Schizosaccharomyces pombe: one gene and its partners. Changing the gene in region 3 together with the main gene of any one other region gives a genetic interaction. Each region holds a gene or a part of one and is shown on either strand. Other genes may lie near its edges. The genes, in order: gmh2, psy2, cox19 and plb5.

Evidence for each region.
Region 1: mutations in cox19 (region 3) and gmh2 together harm fitness more than expected from each alone (negative genetic interaction), as found in Schizosaccharomyces pombe (one large-scale study listed by BioGRID).
Region 2: mutations in cox19 (region 3) and psy2 together harm fitness more than expected from each alone (negative genetic interaction), as found in Schizosaccharomyces pombe (one large-scale study listed by BioGRID).
Region 4: mutations in cox19 (region 3) and plb5 together harm fitness more than expected from each alone (negative genetic interaction), as found in Schizosaccharomyces pombe (one large-scale study listed by BioGRID).

Annotation. Positions count from the first base shown.
Region 1 is NC_003424.3:167,207-171,858, reverse strand, and holds gmh2 (alpha-1,2-galactosyltransferase Gmh2), read left to right. Parts: upstream 1-1,803; 5' UTR 1,804-2,008; coding exon 2,009-3,049; 3' UTR 3,050-4,093; downstream 4,094-4,652. Other genes in the region: ATP-dependent chromatin remodeller/ubiquitin-protein ligase E3 Rad8, read left to right, coding at 1-887; alpha-1,3-galactosyltransferase Otg1, read left to right, coding at 4,324-4,652.
Region 2 is NC_003423.3:893,818-899,325, reverse strand, and holds psy2 (serine/threonine protein phosphatase PP4 regulatory subunit 3 Psy2), read left to right. Parts: upstream 1-1,911; 5' UTR 1,912-2,192; coding exon 2,193-2,904; intron 2,905-2,962; coding exon 2,963-4,761; 3' UTR 4,762-4,954; downstream 4,955-5,508. Other genes in the region: dynein-anchoring factor Num1, read right to left, coding at 1-1,251; squalene monooxygenase Erg1, read right to left, coding at 5,274-5,508.
Region 3 is NC_003421.2:567,949-571,717, reverse strand, and holds cox19 (Cu chaperone), read left to right. Parts: upstream 1-2,025; 5' UTR 2,026-2,178; coding exon 2,179-2,194; intron 2,195-2,628; coding exon 2,629-2,697; intron 2,698-2,764; coding exon 2,765-3,018; 3' UTR 3,019-3,256; downstream 3,257-3,769. Other genes in the region: asp1 (inositol hexakisphosphate kinase/inositol pyrophosphate synthase), read left to right, coding at 1-8; tyrosine--tRNA (Tyr) ligase Yrs1, read left to right, coding at 270-1,475. UniProt on the Schizosaccharomyces pombe protein: Required for the assembly of mitochondrial cytochrome c oxidase.
Region 4 is NC_003421.2:1,740,700-1,745,512, reverse strand, and holds plb5 (phospholipase Plb5), read left to right. Parts: upstream 1-2,053; coding exon 2,054-3,925; 3' UTR 3,926-4,311; downstream 4,312-4,813.

The DNA of each region.
Region 1 (4,652 bases), on a different chromosome or scaffold from region 3:
CGGTTGAGCAATTTAATTCTTTAATTAATCAATTTGTTGTCACTGGAAAGCCCATTCCTTCAGATATTTTAAAAATTGATACACTGAAGTCTTTTGAAGCATTGATAACGGAATGTCCCATATGTTGTAATGAACCAATTCAAAATCCCTTGTTATTGAACTGCAAGCATGCTTGTTGCGGAGATTGTTTGTCAGAACATATTCAGTATCAAAAAAGAAGAAACATAATTCCTCCGCTTTGTCATACATGTCGTCAACCCTTCAATGAGCAAGATGTCTATAAACCTTTTTTTGTCAAAAATAACGGAACACAGTCTACGCTTTTAGTCGGTGAGGAAGTAAAATGGAAATATTGGAATAGGCTACAATCAGTGAAACTTAATGGCCTTTTAGGACAATTGCGTCAATTAACTCATAGTTCTGAACCTGAAAAGGTCGTTATCTTTTCACAGTTTACCACATTCCTGGATATTATCGCAGACGTTCTCGAGTCAGAGAAGATGGGGTATGCTAGATTCGATGGTACCATGTCACAACAAATGAGGTCGACGGCTTTAGAGACATTTCGAAATGATCCTGATGTTAACGTGCTGATTATCTCTTTAAAGGCAGGCGGGGTTGGTTTAAACCTTACTTGTGCCAACCATGTTTTTATTATGGATCCATGGTGGAGCTGGTCAGTGGAAGCACAGGCCATCGATCGTATTCATCGTTTAGGACAGGAAAAGCCTGTATTTGTGACGAGATATATTGTACGTGATACTGTTGAGGAAAGGATGCTCAAAATACAAGAACGCAAAAATTTTATTACTGGGACCCTGGGCATGTCGGAAGGAAAGCAGCAGGTTCAGTCAATTGAAGACATCAAAATGTTGTTTGAATATTAACAACGGTTTCACCAAGCCGATTAAAAGCTATCGTAAAAAAAAAGTATTTTCATATTATGCATATGAAATGCAATTGCTACCGTGGTCGTTGTCATGACTGTCAAATTCTAAGAGAGTATGTGATAAACAAACTGCGTTACAAGATAAATTATAAACTATCTACACCCCTTGGATTTGTTGATTCACGTCTATCACTAATGAATGCGAAATAGTCGAATTCGGTGCATAAGTAACAAAAGTATTAAGGAACGACAGTTTACCCTGGAGCTATACAATCTAAAGTAGTGAATGTGTAATACTTTATTCCATTTTTTGAACTCATAAATTTCCTTGGATGACTTACTTTTTTGTATTCATGATGTTGTTGCTGAGTATCATGGGCAAGGGAATATAAGTTTTAGCTGCTGCAGTGTAAAGGCTGGCTAATGTTTTGTTCAGTATATTAGAGATAGGTATAATTGTTAACTTTTATTCGATTTTTTTATTATTGTTAACCTTGTTAAATAGTAGTAGCGATTGTGATGGAAATCCGGTCACAGAAAGAAAGCGATGTGTATAATTCAACTATATTGGTCAGCCTCTCTCTTTGTTGAAAAGTCGAAGTAGTTGTTTAATAAGGTCAAGATATTTTGATGAAATCAGTGACACAAAATTAAATCCGAATATTTTAGCTAAGTTTTCATTCCATAAATTTCATTTTTCTAATAGCTACCCGTAGAAAGTTTTATAAGCAAGTAACGTGCCGGTTGCTGGGTTATAAAAATTTAGGCAAGGTTACGGTTGTCTCTACCATCGGCAAAGGAGCCGACGTTAATAAAATATTTAACAAAGCCTTTAAAAAATTAACGATAGCTAGTCAAAGGAAGCTTAACGCGTATTCAGCCTCATTAAGACAATCAGGAAGCTTTTTTTTACCATCAGCATATACCTCTAACCCTTTGATTTATTTTTATATCTCGAGATTTCGTTCGTTATTTTATAGGTCGTTTCGATAAGACCTTAATACAATCTGATTTAGTGGTTGTTTAAGATTTCGGAAAAGCCTTTTTTTCAAAAAAAGTTTTCCAGTTATTGTTTCATTATTTCTAATTGATTTACTGAAGAATTGTTATAACCTAAAGATGGCACTTATGTTATCCAGGATTCCACGTCGTTTTTTTTTCTTATTTTTAACGGTCGGCTTGATTGCTGGCGCGTTTCTATACTCGTTGATATATTTTGTGGACGTTGATTTGGTGTCGAAGGTTAACCAGTTGTATGATCAGCAAATTGCACCCATGCTCTCCGATGCTATTGGCACTCCATCCGTTAATCACTCGTTTGAGTTGGCGCCGTTAGACTCTCATTTGGTGGCCACAAGCACTACATTCCACGAGGCGTCATACGAGTCAGAGCCTCAGCAAAATCCTGCCAGTCAAAATATTGTCTTATTACTAGTTAGTGATGGACACACTTCTTACAATAATGGAGCTAATACGTTTGAAGAAGCTATACAGAACAGAGTTGACTATAGTACCAAACAAAACTACAACTTTGAGTATGTCAATGTTACTGGCCTCCCTATTCCCGCCGTTTGGTCCAAGATGCCCGCCGTCTTACAAACTATGAAGAAATACCCCAAAGCGGAATGGATCTGGTTGTTGGATCAGGATGCAATTATTACTAATACCCATCTTTCCCTTCAAGACTCCTTTTTGAAACCTGAGAACTTGCAAAAGACCTTAATTACTAATACCATCCTCACTAAACGGCCTATAAATGCTAACGGGGATTTGCGTTATACACCAAGTAATTATAGTTTAAAAGATATCGAAAATCTCATGGTCATAATCTCACAGGATCACAATGGATTAAACGCAGGTAGTATCTTGTTCCGTAATTCACCTGCTACTGCCTTGTTTTTGGATATTTGGACAGATCCTGTTGTTGCAGAATGTGCGAAAGCCAATAATGAACAAGACATGCTTGGATATTTGATTTCTAAGCATTCACAACTTGCTTCGCTGGTTGGCCTTATTCCTCAAAGAAAAATAAATGCTTTTCACGAAGGTCCGGAAAATATGGAATGGCAAAAAGGTGATTTGGTAATTCACTTTGCTGGATGTTGGGTTGAAAACCGCTGCGATGAACTATGGCAAAAGTTTTACGCCTTGATTGACTAAGTTGCTTATTCATTATATCCGTCTGTTTAATTTGTTTGTGTTTTAAAAAATTTTATATATATAAACAAAGCGCCGTATAATTTTCCGTCAATCTTCCTTTCTTTATCTGAATCTCTAATAATGTTTACTATTTTTTAATCTTTACATACCTAATTAATATAGCGGTTGTGCCATAGCAATCAAAGTTTCAGGTTAGTTTTTTATAGCGAGATATCTGGGAGTTTTGTTTTACACAATCGTCCATCAATAATTGTTATATATTGTATATATTTCACATTGACTTTGAAGCTGTTTCTGTTGGTTCAACTAATTTGCTTTGGCAATTTACCAATGCAATATTGAAGATTGGAATAACAGTTTGGCGTTAATAAATCTTTTTAATAATTTGCATTTCACCGCAGCTGCCATTTTCTGTTAAATGCTGATAGAAGTTTTATTGAATCATTCGTGTCGGATTATACTAAGTTTTTATTTATCTTGTTTTTTGGCCCTACAAAGTATTGGTATGTCCTTATTTTATATTGATTACACTGGCTTTTGGCCTTATAAAGATATAGATTAGTTGCTAAGTCTAAAAGATGTATTTTTTAACGGTGGTTCCATTACGTCTGTGCACCCACTGTTTACACTTGTGTCTTTACAAACCTAGAAGCATTTTCCGATTAATGAGGTCTATCAGGTCAAGGAGAAAGAATATTTGAATAGATTTATCGACAAAATATATTTCGTTAAATTTACACAATATTTACTTTACCAATAAGCTAAATGGTATTTCCAATACTTTTCCAGCTAACAGTCAGATTTTTCACTGTTTGAAACAACTTCACCAAATTAATTCATTAGTGTCAATTTCTATTACATGCTTAAGCTCATAATTTTCAACATCCAGATAGCTCGAAAGTTGACACCATTACACACAAACTAAGATGATTGTGAAAAAACAAAGCGTTAGGATTTGTAAAAGGCAATTCCACAATTTGAATTACAATACTGTAACTGAATATAGCGCGGCACATGGTACAAACAACGTGCTGGTAATAAATTGACAAATGCAGAGCAACCCGCGTGATGAAACATAAATCTCGGATATTTTTTCTTTAAAGGGTTGTTAACGCAAGTCGTTTAAGGGTAAAAGAAATAAATAAATTTTAGAGGGTAACATCCTCATAAAGGGAGTCATCTTTAGAGCCTTTTTTCATTTTTTTAAGGCTTTCGAAAATTTCACGTGTCTCAAATTCTATTGTTTCAGCGGTTCGTTGAATTAATCTCTTATCATGTCTCGAATTTCACTTTCAAATTTTTTATCTCTTCCGCGTTACAAATTCCTGTTGTTTTCTGTGGTTTTGATTATTGTGATGACAACCTTAGTGTTTAACGGACACGATTATAAGCAAACCCTTAATGACCGGCTTACTTCATTAAAAAACAACTTTGTTGAGGAAAATGATAATGCCGTCTTAAAAGAAGAGCCTGGCAAATATACGTATATGAGTTTGTTTACTATGCCTTCTACTGAAGAGGATTACTACTTCAACGCTACTAGGGTTTTAATTCACCGATTGAAATATCATCCTACTACCAAAAGTAAATACCCTATCCATAT
Region 2 (5,508 bases), on a different chromosome or scaffold from region 3:
AAAGAATGACTGAATAAGATGATTCAGAGAAAGTGGGTACAAGCAAGAAAGCTGAAAAAGGCCCAAGTTACTTTTCAGCGCCTTTTGTAGTTGCTGATAAGACAAAAGGAAGCAAATAAACTCATCATCTCTGTCGGTTTCATCTTCGATGTCTATAGAGTTTTCTGGTGATACTGCCTTGTTCAGAGACCTGATTGATTTCTTTATGTCAGCTTTTGTGTTTTCAATTATTTCCGATGATAAATTTGGAGACGGTGTTTTAGTATCGTCAGCTACCAAATGATTTACACTCACTAACTCCTGTTTTGCTAAATTGATGGATTTGAGAACGGCCGATGATTGAGATACCGAAGTTTGTACATTGGATTCCAACGACAAAAAAGGATCTATTGGAAAATCGTGTTTCTCTTCTTGCTCCGCATCAAAAGATGAACTATCAAAATACTTATCCGAGGAAGACTCCAAAAATACAGAATCGTCGTTTTCATCCTCAGTTACCAAAGTATTTTTAGAATCTTCACTTTCATCTATAGTTTCGCCTTTTTCGGCATTCAGTTGAAGCTCGTGAAGGCAAATTCTTAAATTTGTTAATTCCAATGTCAGTTTGTTCTTCTCATCGTTAAGTGAAACGGTCAAAGACTCTACTTCTGTCAATTTTTTCATTAATCCTTGTAGTCTTTGTTCAAGCAAATCCCTTTGTCCTTGCACCTTAGTCTTCTCTTTCATAAGTGTTTTCATGTTTGAAGAAAGTAGATCAAGTTGCTTGATTAAATGGGCATTATCCACTGACAACTTTTTATGCAAATCTTCTTTCTCTGACAGTTGCAGCCTTAAATACCGCAACTGTTGCAGAAGGTTTAAGCCAATGTTAGTAGCATATTGTAGATTGGTTTCAGTAACTGAATATTGATCTACTTGAGAAGACTCACTGAAGCAATTTGTGTTCTTCCTTCTTTCAATTGCAATGTCTTGACGTTGAATAGTAAGCATCTCCGTAATTCTCACCTCCTCCTCCGCTAAATTTTTTTCCAAGTCGCGTAATTTATATCGATTATCAAATTTGTTATTAAAATATGTTTTATTTTCCTTTTGAACCACTTGGTCTTTAATTTCTTGTTCGATTTTTCGTGTTTCACAAAGAATGCTTTCCTCTAACGCTTTCGCATAAGCAAGCTTTATTTTTGCACTTTCATTTCTATTTTTTAAATCAATTGAATATAATTCCACCTCGTTATCTTGTTTTTTCTCCATGAAGGATCAGTATATGTTTTGGTAAGCTCAACTCTCTTTGTCTTTTATATATCGATAAACTCGTAAGCATGCATATCGCAACAGTCATCGTCTTGAATACATAATTTTTATTTCTGGAATTATATCAATTCAATTCGTGTTCTCATTTGGCAAATTTCTCGTATTACGCTTTAACAATAAAACTTAGTAAAAGCAAAAAAACTGTATTTATATTGATGCATTTGCTAGAGTACTTGAATATCTAGCGAAGCTTTAGCAGCTTTCAATATATATATCGGTATAAATACCATTAGTTTGTACTTAAAAATTAACTATTACTTTACAAATGTACCCTGAGCCTCATGATTGACTTGCAAAAAATTGATTTGACGAGGCTACACATGTGTTTAGACAATAATTAACTTTATTTATATTCATATTTAGTTTATTTACTATTTCGAAAAGATTTAAATGCTAATTGTAGACAGTATAAAACGTTTAAAACACAACTCGATATAAGGATTGATTACAGCATATACACCGAGCGGTGAAGTACTCATCGTTAAAATGCATAACGTCCGTTAATGATATTGTTGTAAACAGATACCGAATTACAATGAAAAATAGTGACTGAAAGCACCACGATCACGTATATAATAGTTATTTGACTCTATAAAGAACATAATTCTGCCATAACACTTCAAAATTATGCACGTGAAATATACATAGTACACTGCTTAACAAATCTATTTGTTATATTTTAGGCAAACCAAATAATTAAGTAAAGCGGCATTGCCATTTAATGAGAAATACATTTATTAATAATTACAATCTTGGTGCAATCTACGGTATTGCATTCATTCACCACCACGTTTGAATTTCGTCTTCACTTTTGAAAATTTGGTGACGAACGCCAACGTCGTAAATTCGAAGCTGACGTCTACCCTTAATCCGCCGTAGAAATGGATTCTACGAAGGAAGAGGAAGATTTAAATAATAATATTGATGAAATTTCAGATGGAGAAAATGAAGAAGAGGAATTAGACGAAGCAATTGCAGCTGCATTGCAGAAGATCGAAGTGCCATCGATTCCCAGACGTGTAAAAGTGTACGAAATGGAAGATGAAAACTGGGTAGACTGTGGCACCGGTTATTGCGATGGAAAAATAGAGGGACCGTTGGCTTATTTCATTGTGCGTTCAGAAGCTGATAATGAAACCATCCTTTTGAAAACACAATTGATTGCGGAAGATATATACAGCCGTCAAGAAGAAACTCTCATAGTCTGGCAAGAATTGAATGGTACTGATCTTGCTTTAAGCTTTCAAGAATCTAGCGGTTGTATAGACATGTGGATGTTTTTAGCAAATGTTCAAAAGGCAATATCATCGGTAACTAGAAGTTACTCCAACGATGATATATTGACGGATGAGGGGGCGCTTAATGAAAACTACCTAAACACGGTCGATCTTCCAGCCCCAGAGCTTGCTAATTTAAAAGAAATTGAAGAAGCAGTATATGGATATATGCAGTCTATTCAATCAAGAGATAGTTTGGTTCGTTATGTTTCAAATGAAAATTATATTGATAGACTTATTGAACTTTTTCCTCTGTGTGAGGATCTAGAGAATACAGATGACCTTCATCGATTGTGTTCCATAATAAAAAGCTTTGGTATGTTAATCTACTTTATACTTTTTAGATTCGTTAAATCCTTGCTAATCGCTGTCAGTGCAATTGAACGACGCCCCTTTACTCGAATCGTTGTTCTCTAATGATGAAAAGCTAATGTGTGTAGCTGGTATTCTCGAATACGATCCGGAATTCCCCAATATCAAAGCGAACCATCGGGAATATTTAATGGATTCCAAAAAGTTTAAGCAGGTGGTTCCCATTCAGGATCCACGGATTCTTGCAAAAATTCACCAGACATTTAAGCTTCAGTATCTAAGGGATGTTGTCGTTTCAAGGATTGTTGACGAACCCTCCTTTTCGGTGCTAAATTCATTTATCTTCTTTAACCAGGCTGATATTATTCAATACCTTCAAACAAATGAAAAATTTTTACATGAACTGTTTAGCATTTATGTGAATGAAGGCGAGGATGATCAACGCAAGCAAGACGGTATATTCTTTATTCAGCAGGTTTGCAACATCGCTAAAGGGCTACAATTCCAGTCCTGCTCTGCATTATTTGCTACTTTCGTTAAATTTAATCTTCTGAAAGCTTTGGATTATGCAATGTCACATGAGAACAATTCCGTTCGAAATGCTGGTTCCGATATTTTGGTGTCTATTATTGATCATGAACCTGCCATCGTTTGGCAAAAGTTTGATCAAGATCGCAAGGACGCTTCTTCTTCATTGAGCAATGCTCACGTTTCCCAACATTCGTTGCTTTCCAATTTAATTAACATTTTGCATAAAGAATCAAATCCTGGAGTACTTGCTCAAATTTCTGAAGCTTTTAAAATGCTACTAAGTTTACCTGGTAGCTATGCATACAATAATCCTTACAGAAATGCTGATGGAAATGTTCGAAATAAAACCGATAACATTATTGGAATTAATTTTATTGAAAATTTTTATGATAACTCTTTTAATATGCTTGCTGCTCCTTTATTGGAGCTGGAAAATGTATCGAGTTTAGATGTTAAAAAGCTTGATATGTATATGCATTTGTGTGAGCTTTTTTGTTATTTTTTTCGTATACACGATTATTGGTCTCGTCGTTTTGATACATATAAAACCCTTACATCAAAAGTGGCTCTATTACTATACAGCGATAGAAAATATGTTGTTTTGAGCGCCCTTAGATTTATTCGCTCTTGTTTGGCCGCTCGTCAGTCAGAAATGTCCTTGATCATGTTAGAAACTGACACATACGGAAAAGTTCTGGACTTGATGTTAAAGGTCAAAGACCAAACTAATTTAGTCAACTCAGCTGCTTTAGAGTTTTTTGAATTTTTAAGATCCGAGGGATCTGAAGATACACTGGATTATCTCAATAAAAACTATCGACCACAGCTGGAATCTTTAAATAATCTCAGTACTTTTTCTGAGCTTTTAAATATAATAGATGGCTTAAGCTCTGACTCAAGAAGCCCTAAAACTGTTGGGACTCATGAATCAAATAGTTATGAATTTGACGGTGCCTCCAATAATAACCAACGTGTTGGAGACGACGTATCCAAAGATTGGGAAATACAGCAAGATTTTTCTATTGAAAACGATACTGAATTATCAGAAAAAGTTGGACAACGTACTGTTCTTGATTCTATAGCCCCTGCTGAGCTAAATATTGAAGACAGTTGCGAGCAGCCAAAGCAACCTATATTAGAGGATCGTTATTTCCTTGAGTCTGCAGTTTATGATACCTCTGCAGAATCTTCAGGTATTAATGTTTCAAACACCCGTTATTCTAAAAGGAAATCGGATTTCCAAGTTGATGATCAGCAAGCTGATGATGAATCACCAAAAAAGAGACTCTCTATCGATTCAAGTTCTGCCCAGAATGGCTACGCTTCCTAGAAGATGAACATAAAAAGGGAAGCTCCAAAAACTCTAGAAGATTGTAATGCAAGTGAATCATCATATGGACATCGTATTTTTGTTCCCGGGTTTATCATTGTTTTGAAAACTCATCTGTATAATATAAACGATTTGGGTTGTTCATTAAGGGACTTTTAAAATAATAAATACCAATTTTCATGTTACTATCGTGGTCTTGTAGTCTCGGGATAATTGTTTACTTAACGCTGACGAATAATTGTACTTAGTAGGCTTAAAAATTAAAAAAAAGTATTTTATATTAAAACGGCAATTTATAACTCTTGAAAAACAGAGGGATTTATATAATAAACAAAAAGAGTGTGAAGTCATTACAAACTTGAACCCAACTCTATCTAAAACTATTTCTTTAAAAACAACGACGTACCAAACAAGGCAAAAACCAAATAGCTATCAGTGATTGCCAAGACAATCATAATCAACCAATTCATAAATCAAAAATAATTTAATTTTAATGAACTGATTCTGCAAACTTAGGATGACATTTCGCTAAGGATATAAGGGATAATTACTAGCGAAGCTTGTAAGAAAATCAATAAGGATTCGATGATACGGACGGGCATAAGCAAAGCAGGACCAGACAAGACATATTGGTAAATACCATAGAGACAGACGGCATAGAAGTGGCCGATAAGATGAGAAGGGCTATGGTCTAAACCGCCTAATAAACGAATGGGACCTTCAACACAATTACCTCCACGCTTGAAG
Region 3 (3,769 bases):
TTAATTAACCGCTTTTACCCTTTTTACGAATGTTTTGATAACATAAACATTTTTTAAACGATATTTTATTAGTAATTGCACATAATTAAACCAAATTATTTATTAAACCTTGGTTAATAATTTTGTCTGAATAATTTGTTGTTCGGGTTGCAGTCACGGTGCCGCGGCAATTCCGAACGTTGATCGCAGTCCATGATTGCAATCGAAAACATCGTTAACCAACATCACCAATTTTTGTGAGTTCCATTTAACGTTGGATATCAAGCAAGATGTCGCTTACTCCGGATGAAAAATATGAGTTGATTACTCGTAATCTTCAAGAGGTGCTTGGCGCCAAAATGATTCGCGAAATTTTGAATGAACGCGATATCAGCTTGTACTGGGGCAGTGCACCTACTGGCCGTCCTCATTGTGGTTATTTTGTGCCAATGATGAAGTTGGCTGATTTTTTAAAGGCCGGTGTACATGTTACTGTTCTTTTAGCCGATGTCCATGCTTTTTTGGATAACATGAAGGCGCCGATGGAACTCGTTCAACACCGTGTTCGTTATTATGAAATTATTGTCAAATCTATTCTAAAATCGTTGAATATTCCCATTGAGAAGCTTCGTTTTGTCATTGGCTCCAGCTATCAGCTGAAGGAGGATTATACCCTTGATAACTTTCGACTTGCTGCATCTACGACAGAGCACACTGCTCGTCGTGCCGGTGCAGAAGTTGTCAAGCAGGTCGCTAGTCCTCTATTGTCAAGCTTGATCTATCCAGGTATGCAAGCTCTTGATGAACAATACCTTGGTGTTGATGTTCAATTCGGTGGTGTTGACCAACGTAAAATTTTCGTTATGGCTGAAGAGGTGTTACCAGTTTTGGGATACAAGAAGCGTGGCCATTTAATGAACCCTATGGTGCCCAGTCTTGCTGGTGGTAAAATGTCTTCCTCTGCCGCTGCCAACGCCAAAATTGATATCTTAGATGATCCCAAAACTGTAAACAAGAAAATCCGTTCAGCTTTTTGCGAGCCTGGTGTTGTGGAGGAAAATGGTTGTTTGGCTTTCTTGAAATACGTCAGTTTCCCTGCAATGGAACTTCGTGGCGAAACTGAATTTGTCATTGATCGTCCAGAGCAATTTGGTGGAAGAATGGTTTTCAAAACTTATGAAGAGGTTGAAAAGGCATACAAGGACCTGACTCTTTCACCCCAAGATTTGAAGCTTGGTCTTGAGTCATCTGTCAATACTTTGTTGGCTGGTGTCCAAGAGCAGTTGAAGCAATATCCTGACTTGGATAGTATTTTGAAGGCTGCCTATCCTGATCCCAAGGATTTGAAGAAGGCCATGAAACAGAAAAAACAAGATAAAAAGAATGCAAAGAAGGCTGGAACTACTAATGCTTCAATTGCTGCTGAATCCGGTGCTGCCCCAGCAACGGAAAGTCAGACTGCTGAGTCATTCAAAAAATTGAATCTGGATGATTAAACATACTTTTCAAAAGCTTGCTAATGTGAGTCCTGACGTTAGACGATCGTTTTTGATAGCTCCTTTGGTTGTTGAAGAAGTGTTTTATATTTCTGGATATATATTTCATCGTTTGTATACTTCTATCTTTTTCTTTTTACAAAATAAAACCATTGATTTTTGGCTTTCAGTTGTCTCGATTTCCTATGTCTGTAACTTAATATTCATGTATATGTAGATGATAATCGATACTATAGACTTTGATACACTTTGCTCGGGAGATATAGGTGATGAAATATGGTACTTTCAGGTATTCATGGTTATGAAAGGATGCATCATTTAATTATTGTGTTCAAATTCAACTTTCGTATTGAAATTAACTTTGGTTATTGATAATTTTACCATAGCGTAAATTTAGCTTTGCCTTTCAAGTCTATAATTTTACTGTATTTTGTTCGTATTATGAAGTGAGAATACCAAATCCACCAGACTACTTCAATTAGGAAGTACTCAGTCGAAAAATCAACTTTATGTGGTTGTAAACAGTTGAACTTGTGTGCGACGTAGCTTTACATCTTCATCCACCGCCTTAGGTTCGAAGTAAACGACTCATATCCATTGTTCTAACTCATACGTTTCTTAAACTTGGATAAAGATAATTTCATTAACTTGAATAATTTTTTGCATTGAAATAATAAGCATTGACCAGTCTAACGTTTCAAAAATGTCATTCGGAGCAGGTAAGTAATTGTTCGTTCAAAGATGTTTCAGCATTTGAAATCGTTTGGGAAAACAAGTCCTTTTTGCTTCTAAACAAAACGTACTTGCAAAATCACATAAAATCGAATGTTATGAAAAGAACAGTTTCATTGAATAGAATCTATCCATCTATGTTTGCTTATGATTGGCATGCAACTTTTTACTCAGAGCTACTACTGATATAAGAAACTATTTTTAATTCCGTTAATTAAATGGCACAATCTTAAAGAATGAGGAGCTTTGAGTTGTTGAATGCTTGCATTGGTGGAATTGATTTTCTAATTCTTTTTATTCTGCATTTGATGAGTGTCATTTTTCAACTGACAAAGTTAAAGACTTCCCATTCCATATTTCTTAATCCTATATGATATATTGAGCTTTTAAAAAGTTATATGTTAACAATGAATTTCGATAGCTGGTGGATCTCTACCCATGACAACTCGTGAACCTCCGGAACGAGGAAGTTTTCCTTTAGATCATTTTGGTATGTGATGGTCAAAGTATTTTTTTCTGGTAGTTATTTACCTTTTTTACTAATACTTGTCGTGCAGGAGAATGCACTCATGTCATGAAACAGTACTTGGAGTGCATAAAAGTGAAACGAGAGAATCAGGAGGAATGTCGTTTGCTTGCAAAGAAATATCTGCAATGTCGAATGGACACTGGTTTGTTTGGGAAAGATGATATGAAGAATTTAGGTTTTCATGGCGACGAAAATGCAACATCTACTTCTTTAAGCAGCAGCAATGATGGTAATAATAACTCGAATTCCTCTTCTTCTGATAATAAGACAGGAGGTGAGTGATCCTCTACATAAAATTATAAAAAAAAAAAAAAAAAAAAAAAGGAAAAGCAAGTCGTTAAGAATCACTGCTTGAATACTATTTCAACTATGAATAGTCGATCACTTACCAACATCAGAAGGATATTTATTTACTGTTAATTTAACTTGGTAATGACTGTTCTGCATACTCATTAATAAAAGTGTATTGTATTGGAATAAGCAATAATGATATTTATAAATGAATCATTTTTATGGCTGACGCTTAACAGGAAGCGGCTGGTATTTAGTTGATTGGTTTATAATTTTATAATTTTTTTTATACAATCCATAATTTTCTTGTATTTGAAATGATTGCTTTCCTTTAACTCATTGCCTTTTTCACATTGTATCCTTTAACATAGTTTTTAAATGAAGGAGGAATAATCAGATGAAGTGATATAAACCTTTATGATTCCTCAATCAAAAGAAAGAAAAAAAGGGATATTTTAATTCGTCAATGATAAGCTTACTCGTATGTAGAATATTTTTGTATATCTATACTTCTCTTTTCACCTATATTTTAACGTCGATCTTTTGTTTTCGCTAATTTTAAGGTTAAATACAACCGAATCTATTTTTTTTGGCCCCCCTAAACTTACTGATAAATTGATGTTACTTTTCTAAACCGCCCATTATCGGGGGCCTTGAGGTTGCTCTTCAGATATATCGGCTCAAGTGCTATCAGTGCCTTTTGCTTCACCGTTTTTTGATAACTTTTTGCCGAATCATTTCA
Region 4 (4,813 bases), 1.2 Mb from region 3:
CATATCTAGTTTATCACTCCTTAAGTTGGTATTTGTGATTTTGGACGAGTTGTTGCTTAACTTGTATTGCGAAACTTACTATAATACAGTATTCGTTGACCTTAATACCTCAACTGCCTTTGCTACGCTAAGGATTCATCACATACCGATGACACTTCAGTAGTTCTTTAAATTTATTTAAGACGTACAAGCCAGTGCATAATCTAGGTTTACAAAACTCTTTGTTATAGCTCCTTAGACACGGGAACTAAGCAAAGGAGGTATACAGTCTGGATACACGGGAACTCTTAAACAAAGTGTAAAATAATGTATCTCTTAATAACTCTGTCGAAATGGTTATATATCACATTGTGAGCTTGTTACAATACCTTATAGCTTTGCATTTAGTTCAGTGCAGTTTCTTATGTTTGTGTTTTGGGTTTGTAAAGTATGATAAAACGAGAGAGATATTTTGACAAACTGATGAAATTCAAGATCTACTGTATCAGCTTATAACTGGAATAGAAAGAAAGAATATAAAGGCTACAATGTAGCCATGTGCGGTCAACGTTTAGACTGCCGATCTTATGACCTAACTAAAGCGATCGCTATTCAGATCCATTTCTGCTTGTAGGGATGAGACTTTGTAGAATAGCAAATCTGTAAATTAACAAATCTTCAAATTTTGTTGCATCAAGCAATAACTTCTACTCTATCTGTTTCTATCAATGGTTTTTCATATCTCGAATTGAAATATTTCCAATGTGAATCAACTAAAAACATCGCACCCCATTACCTTATTGAATATTCGAATTTGGGGATTTCCTAGAAGAGTTGGACATTAAATGACGTTAATAGAAGTAAAAAAAAAATAGAAAGTCGTTTCATCATGGACTTGTCGATGATTTGCATTACCAGACAATTTTACATCCGTGAGTTCGCAGCAATCGGGTTGGTATCCGTTTATAAATTTAGCCGTTGATATTCATCCCGTCATTTAAAGCTGAGCCTAGGTTGATCTAAATATTCCATTATAGAATCGCTGAAATATTTATTGAATAGGGCATAAATGGTACCCATGAATGCTAATGATAACTAGGCAATCCAACTCCAACTGGCATCTAAAGACTTAGTAATATGACCACCATTTCATAATCTCACGGTGCTACATATAGAAAATCGTTAACATCATAGATGGCATCTTCGGAGTTCCTTCTAGTCCACGCCGAATTGCGGATCAAGGTAAGCAGATCATGAGAAACGTGGGTCATGCGAAAAGTGAGTCTACAAGTGAGTTCATCCTCAAAAGCCTATATATATTATATATATAGCACTTGGGAATAAATGAATAAAGGTTGCAACTTTAGTGATTGAATCGGTAAATCCCGTTAAAACAAACAATCAGTGATTCATCCTTCTTTAGTGTGATCTGTGTAGGTAAGCAAGCAATTTACAAATGCCTAGAAAGTTGGCAAGGCCGGTTTGTGTTTGGCAAGGAAATGAGCAAAAACGTCTGTCTATTCCTAAAACGGACGGTGGGTAAGCAAAATCCCAACTTGAAAATTTGAATTGGGATTTTTTTATTTCAATGGAAAAAGATAGGTTAAATCATAAAAAAGAACATGATATTATTTTCTTGGAAATATGTCGAAATCCTGTCTCATCCCAACCTTTTCGACAAAACTAGGTGTCCTGATGGAAATATAGTTTAAGCTCATCGCTTGCCGAACCGCTCCATCAAATGCTTAATTTGCTTTTATTGACATTGTAGCTCGACGGACTCTCTAGATATCTAAATATTTTTCGTTGAACTTACTAGATTGGGAATTGACAATTGAAAGCTCTTTAATTGATTACTTTCATTGTCTTGATTTTTTTCATTCTCAGAAAATTTCAAAAAATTCAGACTTTAGAAACTCGCTGTTTGTTAATCACTCTCTTGCTTTTTTTGGATTCAGAGAAAATTGAAAAATTCGAACTTTTTTTAAAAACGAATCATTGACCGTATTCTATCCTTTTATCCTTTATTAAACCAACCTTGCTTTTTTAATTTTTATTTTATTTTTTTTTAAACATGAAATTATCTTCCTTTGGATTATTTCTCGCTCTCCAGCTTTTGCCGGCCTTGGGCCTTCCTTCTCGTATCGATGAAGTAGACGTTTCAGACCCAGAACTAATCGGATTATTGAAACCCGATAACGTTGATAAGCCAGCAAACTCTATACCCCTTTCCAAGCGTAGCACAAGCCCATCGTATGCGCCTTATACTGTTGCTTGCCCTAGTGGCTCTCTGCTTCGACCTGCCTCCGATGGCCTTAGTACTGGTGAACAAGAATTTGTTGACAAACGTGTCTCAAAGGTTAACAGTGCATTGGAAAGCTTTATTTCAAAAACCGGCTTAAAAATCGATACAAAAAGTGTGCTGAATGACACAGATGGCCCTCGTTTGGGAATTGCAATCTCTGGCGGTGGATTTCCTGCCATGTTAACGGGAGCCGGCGCTATTAATGCATTTGATGCTAGAAATGGTAACACTACGTCTCTTGGTGGTATTCTTCAATCTTCCATGTACCTTACTGGTCTTTCTGGTGGCTCTTGGCTTGTGGGATCTGTTGCGGTTAACAACTTTGCCAATATTACTTTCTTGCACGACGACGTTTGGAACCTGGACCACAGTCTCTTCGCTCCCTATGACGACGCTTTTGAGAACTTTTATATTTACCAAGAGTGGTTTGAGCAAGTTCTGCAAAAGAAGAATGCTGGATTCAATGTCTCCATTACTGACCTTTGGGGCCGTGCTTTGGCTCTTAAGCTTGTCAATCCTTTGACTGGAGGTGCTAATACTACATTCTCTAGTGTAACAAATGAAACGTGGTTCCAGGATGGTGAATTTCCCTTTCCCATCATCATTGCTGATAATGTCATAGAGGGTGAAACCGTAATCCCTTTGAACGACACTGTCTTTGAATTTACACCCATCGAATTTGGTACTTGGGACACTGGGGTGGAATCATTTATACCCATGGAGTATACAGGTACACACCTTATTAATGGCATTCCTCTTAATGAATCCTGTGTGCGTAATTTCGACAACGCTGGTTTCCTCATGGGTACCTCTTCAAATGTTTTTAGCGGTATCCTTCCTGCGACAAATGCATCACTCACCGCTAGTAATAATACCTTTAACAATGCTGTCCTTAGTTTCCTCGAAATGCTTGCCGAAGATCAATTGGATGTAGGTCTTTATCCCAACCCTTACCAAGGTTATGGAAATGCTTCCAATACAACCACTACCAATCCCTTGGAGCCGTATCCCATTATTGAATTAATAGACGGTGGCTCAGATAGTGAAGGTATTCCCTTTTGGCCCTTGCTTCATCCACAAAGAGACGTAGATGTTATTTTTGCGATTGACGGGGGTTATCAAAGCGCAACGAGTGGATGGCCAGATGGATCGTCCCTAGTTTCTACATATGAAAGAGTTTTAGCCACTAACTCCTCTGGCGTTCGTGGTTTCCCATATATTCCTGATACCAACACATTTTTGGCTCTTGGTTTGAACACTCATCCAACTTTCTTCGGTTGCGACGGTAGAAACACCACAGCCGGAAACCATACCGTTAATGACGATACTCCTCCTCTTGTAGTTTACTTCCCCAACTATCCTTGGACTATGTATGCAAATGTCACTACCTACACTGTTCAACTGGAAGATACTTTGTCCAGTGGAATGATTGAAAATGCCGCTGTTGCTGCTACCCAAAATAACAGTGATTCATTTGCTGTCTGCGTTGCATGCGCTCTCGTTCAACGTTCCTTGGAACGCAAAAACATGTCGACTCCAAGTCAATGTGCTTCTTGCTTTAATCAATACTGTTGGAATGGAACAATTGCAAGCACGACCGTTACTACATATGCACCTACAGTTCTGTCAGCCAAGATTTAGTATGCAACGCTCACGACAATCCATTTTGTTCGATCTTTTCCATGGTAGCATAGAGCGTAAAGCATTGAAACACTAATGTTCATATATTCACTAATCTAAGAACCAGCAAAAGTCGGCTCTTTACTTATTGCTCATAAACAACGAGAAGGAAGATATAGTGAATAAATATAGGAATGAAAAAAGCTTCAAGAAGCCATTAACACCATCGAATTTGAATTCCTAAGCTCTAAATGACACTAATTTATGTAACCTTTGCAGAAATGTTTCAACTCAAATACTGTGTCAGCAGTAGTCCAGCACGCTACGATATACTACGTTGCGTAGCACTATATGTCATGCTAAAATATACATAACATTAGTTTATTGATGATTGTAGCTGTTTGTCCATCTATCTACACAAGTTACACATTGGTAGCAACTAGAGAAAAATATAAATAGAGCTACCACTGAACCTCATTCCTCAGTTCAGTTATTGGCTATATCGGTGACCGATACTACTAGACTTTTTATAACAATAAATATAATATTATTAGTTAACAAAGCGCATACCGCTATGTTGTAAATCCCTAGAAATCTCGCCGCAGTGCTATATATCGTTAAACCAGATACCAAACTGCGTAGCTGACATTATAATTATACTACAACGTTTGCTTCTCAAAAACGTTTTAAGGAAAGCTAAGTTAGGGTAAATAAAAAGGGCAGTGACAAAATAAATGTGTCAGAAGCAATTGCATTTTGAAAATGAGTTTTCGAATTTTAACTTTTACCTACTATTATTAAAGAGAGAAGTCTTCTTTGAAAGAAATTGCTCGTTTTTTATGTTGAACGGCTGAAATTGGGCTCCAGAGTGAAAATTCTTGATTTCGCTGTTTCGTTTGTCGCAATTAT